Callithrix jacchus: one gene and its partner. The protein of the gene in region 1 purifies or fractionates together with the protein of each later gene. This does not show direct contact. Links are inferred from orthologs where the notes say so. Each region holds a gene or a part of one and is shown in the gene's direction. Other genes may lie near its edges.

Region 1 (2,771 bases):
TCAAACTATCTGGACTCCGTTTGAACCAGTTAACCCACTCTCTGGCTTTGGGAGTGATCCTTCTGGTAACATGAAGACTCAGCGCAGAGGAAGTCAGCCATCAACTCCTCGTCTGTCTCCTACATTTCCTGAGAGCATAGAACACCCACTTGCTCGGAGGGTTAGGAGCGACCCACCTAGTACAGGCAACCATGTTGGCCTTCCAATATACATCCCTGCTTTTTCTAATGGTACCAATAGTTACTCCTCTTCCAATGGTGGTTCCACCTCTAGCTCACCTCCAGAATCAAGACGAAAGCATGACTGTGTGATTTGCTTTGAGAATGAGGTTATTGCTGCCCTAGTTCCATGTGGCCACAACCTCTTCTGCATGGAATGTGCCAACAAGATCTGTGAAAAGAGAACGCCATCATGTCCAGTTTGCCAGACAGCTGTTACTCAGGCAATCCAAATTCACTCTTAACTATATATATATTACATAAATACTATATCTCTATATGGACTCGTAAAGGCATGGGTATAATGGTACCCCCCAGTAAACTTCCTAAAGAATTCTTATGACTGTTATCAGGCTTTATTGGGATTAGGCTAAAGTTGTTAGTAAACTTATAAAAGGCTGCTATGGTAACACTAAACCTAAGTGGTCTCTTGTCTATTAGTTTGGTTTGAATTATTAATACTATCCTGTAGACCCAGAGACATAGCTTATATAAGATTGCTAAAGCTGAAGTTCAACTTGGCTGAGTGAAGATAATCATAGGTTGTGTGAGCCTATGAGAAAAGTGTATACATTTAAGATTTCAAAACAATGGGTCCCAAAGCCTAACCACTTTAAGAGTTTATGGGAGGGTACTTGGCATTACAGACGACTCATACACTTCCAGTGCTGCCTTCTTTACACTGCCAGTTTTGACAAAACAGGTTTGTTTGTTTGTTATTTTACAACAACTTATGCCTAATTCTGCAGGATTGCAAATAACTTTTTAATGCATTGTGATTACTTATTGGTAATAATAGGGCTGGTGGCAGTTTACTAGATCACTTGTTATAATTTGGGACAAAAACTGCTACATCGACTTCATCTCGCCCAGAGTGCTCAAGGCTGGTGTGATCAGTGGATCAGGAATGCAGTTGTGAATTCCTGCCCATTGCCTCTCTTGATGAATGTGGAAATGGCCACCTGGGTTTTCCCGTATCAGGAAGGGCTTTGGGATGGCACCTATATTTGCTAATAATTGAGGATGCGAACATTCCATTCATTAGTCTGATCGAGCTGTTAATTTTTAGACTATAGATCAAAATGTGAAACATTTTATGTTCAATCCATATTTGTCTTGCACATTATAAATATATTTTTATTTTTTAGTAATTTAGGGGAGGGAGGAGGGAGAAAGGGATAATGATGCCCTTGGCATAATTCACAAAAGCAGCTGTGACAACCTCCAATCAGTTTACTTCATTTCCAAACTATTTCCAATCACAAGGAAAGATTTCTTTAAAATACACTTGTACATTTCACCTGTGGATGTCTATAACTTCATCCTCAGTATGTTCCCAAATCTGTGCTGGCATCGAAAGGACAAAACATTATACTGGTGGATTTTTCTACTAATTATTTTTTGAAGCATTATTTTCCCAACACAAAAGAGCTTTTTTTCTCAGTATAATGAAAATTGAAATCCTATGTGTATTCAATAGTAAATAGACAAATTTTATTTTTTATTTCCACTTGAAGAGTTACATTTCGTATAAAAGTTTACAAATAACGGTTTTTATTTTGATTTTTTCAGTATAAAAAAAGTTGCCTTGATGGCATATTATGATGTAAATGCTAATTGCTTGTAGGATAGTAAATGTCAGTATTGAAACTTAATCTCTAGCTGCCGTCTTGTAGATATGAACGAATGTTCACCAAGCATGTATTTTGTATTTTGTTGCATTGTACACTGCAACTAATAAGCCAAGGAATCGACATATATTAGGTGCGTGTACTGTTTCTAAAAACCACAAACTAAGAATGATAAATTATCAATATAGTTTAGTATTTGCTAATTTTACTACACTCTTTTGTTATGTATATGTAGGGAAGTCATAGGGATTATAAATTCAATTTGAGTAAAATTTAAAACCATATATTTTATGATAAAGGGCCTTTAACTTAAGATGGCCAAAGCACTGATATTATATATTTGCTGTAAAGAGAATTATAAGAGTTTTATTTTTCTGATATTAAAAGTTACTTAATAAAGACTTGTTTCCATTAACTTGAATGTATTCTCCTTGGTGTTTTTCATGTAATCATTAGCAGTTTAGAAGATTAGTTATTTAACTAAATTTAAAATTTCCTTTTATAGACTCTCTGTTTCCCAGCCAGCTATCTGTGCTCACTCTTGTAGTTATTTTGTGTGTGTGTATGTTCTTGGTTTTGAATGTGTCGCTTATGTTCCTGTCCAAGTTTACTTTTTCTTTAAATGAGTGTTACATTATAGTAAATTGGAGATTTGGCTGGTCATAGATTTAGTTGCATGTTTACGTAGTTGACCACAAACTACTACTGATCTAATTGTAAATAGTAAATGACTTTTTTTATACATTGTTACTTGAAATCCTGAATTCAACCTAAATTCTACTTGGTTTGCATCCTTTGTTTATGGACTTTTGTCTTTTTATCACCAAATCTATAAAAAAGATTCTTTTCTAATACAAAAGCACCAGTTTACCTTTCAGGTAAAAGTACCTCTGAAATGTTGACAAAAATATTTCTCCATTTA
Region 2 (2,179 bases), on another chromosome or scaffold:
GTATAAGCCTGGTGTGTTTTTCTGTTATTACCAAGTAAGGCTCCTTGTTTCTAAAGAAACTAAAAATCTTTTTTAAATGATAGGAAACCCATGATGTGAAACACATTAATATAACACATTTCTTTTTTAAAATGCTGTTTTTAGTACATTTTATAGACCTACTTTGATTATTAACAAATTTATATCTTTCCCAAAGTGTTTCTTCCACATTGTATTTTATAATATTGTTCATATTTTTTAACAATGTTCAAAATATTATGTTCAAATATTCAAATAAATGTTCAAAATTTATGCTCAAATATTGTTTATATTTGTGTAATTTTTAAAAGTACACAGATAATTGGCCTTCCCATTTTACCAGTGTGTGCTTTTTCATCAGTAAAGATAAAAGGGAAACATGGCTTCTTTAAACTTAAATTTGTTTTTACTTACAGAAAAACATTCTACACAAAAATCTCCCTGTTTTCTATTCAGAAAAATAATGTTCTGCCAGACTAAATTAAGGTTTTTTTGTGACTTTTTTTGTTCATTGCTCTTTCTTTTAATATGATATATCTGATGCATTTATTGATAGAAAAAGATCTGTAGTTCATAATGATTCTCCCTAGGCAGGATAATAGTGAGTAAGAGACTCCATCACTTCTTCCATATGTCTGTTATATTGAATTTTTTTATAGTGAATATTTTTACTTTTGTGATCAGAAGAAAAATTTCTAAATTTTATATTTGTATAATCACTGTCATGTTATTTCTTTGAATAACCTATCAGTGATTTATATTTATATGAGGTTCATATGTGTGTATTCTTAAAACATTATTTTTCTTTGCCTCCTTCAAATTTATACAGGTCCCAAAGGCAAGCAGTTAGAAGGAACCGAATGTCCACTCCATGTCGTTCACCCACCCACTGGGGAAGAGTTTGCTCTGGGATGTGGAGTGTGCAGAAATGCCCACACTTTTTAGAAAACTCAGATCCTTTGTCTACAGAGAGAAAAGTTGTCTTCATCCCCCATGAGGATGCGGTGAGGTTAAAACTCTGCTCAGGATAAGGACGGGACCATTTTTACATCCATGAAAATGAACCATTCACAGTGCAAGAAGGATGCCAAATACTTTGTACATAATTCTTGCTATGAAAAGTTTCTCCATTATTTTCGTTTATCTTCTTTTGAACAGATGACATCAACCTTGTGAGGTGTTTGCATGTGGCCATTACCGTCATTGGCCTGTGAAGCATTGGACATTTATAGATAATTGATATAAAAGAATCGCCATGTCAGTGGACTAAGAATGATGCTGGCTTTCAAGCAAAAAAAGAAAAATAATCATTGTTTATTGTATACTGCCTTTTTGTAATCCTGTACAATTGCATCACAGGTGGGGATAAAAAAGAGGAATATTCTGGATTATTTCCTAGACTGTTATTTAAAAAAAAATTGTGTTAGGACAGCATACAAATGTAATAAGTATCACACTGTATATAAAGATATCAATGTTTGTCCTGTATAAGAATTACTAAATTACAAATGCAGTTTCATTTAAACTTCTAGGTTAAGTTTGAGCCTGAAATTTTAATGAAGTGCAATACTGAGTGTGCCTCATTATCTTGCAGCTGTAAACATATTGGAATGTACATGTCAATAAACCCACTGTACATTTTTATACAGTGATAAAGTCTACCGCTGTGGGAGGTGTTGTTTGAGAAACAAAATTTAATACCTTTATGGTCTAAAAGTCCAGTTTTCCTCAGAAATGTACTAACATAATTATAATTTTCATAACTGTTAGGGAAAATAAGAATAGTAATGAGGTTTAGTGTTGGAATCTTAAACCCTGGGCAGAAATCATGAATATATATACATTCGTAGGTAGACGTATTCATACCGAGACAGAAGAAAACATTTAGGAAATTCTATCTTAACTAGCAGAATTGTGAGCTTTTATCTATCTGTTTATGAGACAGGATCTCACACTGTCACCCAGGCTGGAGTACAGTGGCATGATCTCACCTCACTGCAGCCTCCACCTGAGCTCAAGTGATATCCAGCCTCAGCCCCCTGAGTAGCTGGGACTGTAGGCGTGTGCCAGCACCATGCCCAGTTAATTTTGTAATTTTTGTAGAGATGGGGTTTTGCCGTGTTGCCCAGTCTGGTCTCAAACTCCTAGGCTCAAACCATCT

What was found. The genes of interacting proteins can lie anywhere in the genome.
Region 2: the proteins of MEX3C (region 1) and MYCBP2 purify together in Homo sapiens (affinity purification with mass spectrometry; 3 studies listed by BioGRID and IntAct, with this or other methods). This does not show direct contact. The link is inferred for Callithrix jacchus from reciprocal best matches to the Homo sapiens genes MEX3C and MYCBP2.

The regions. Positions count from the first base shown.
Region 1 is NC_133514.1:94,375,206-94,377,976, reverse strand, and holds the end of MEX3C (RNA-binding E3 ubiquitin-protein ligase MEX3C), read left to right. Parts: coding exon 1-463; 3' UTR 464-2,270; downstream 2,271-2,771. UniProt on the Homo sapiens protein: E3 ubiquitin ligase responsible for the post-transcriptional regulation of common HLA-A allotypes. Binds to the 3' UTR of HLA-A2 mRNA, and regulates its levels by promoting mRNA decay.
Region 2 is NC_133502.1:38,262,211-38,264,389, forward strand, and holds the end of MYCBP2 (E3 ubiquitin-protein ligase MYCBP2), read left to right. Parts: intron 1-847; coding exon 848-963; 3' UTR 964-1,679; downstream 1,680-2,179. UniProt on the Homo sapiens protein: Atypical E3 ubiquitin-protein ligase which specifically mediates ubiquitination of threonine and serine residues on target proteins, instead of ubiquitinating lysine residues.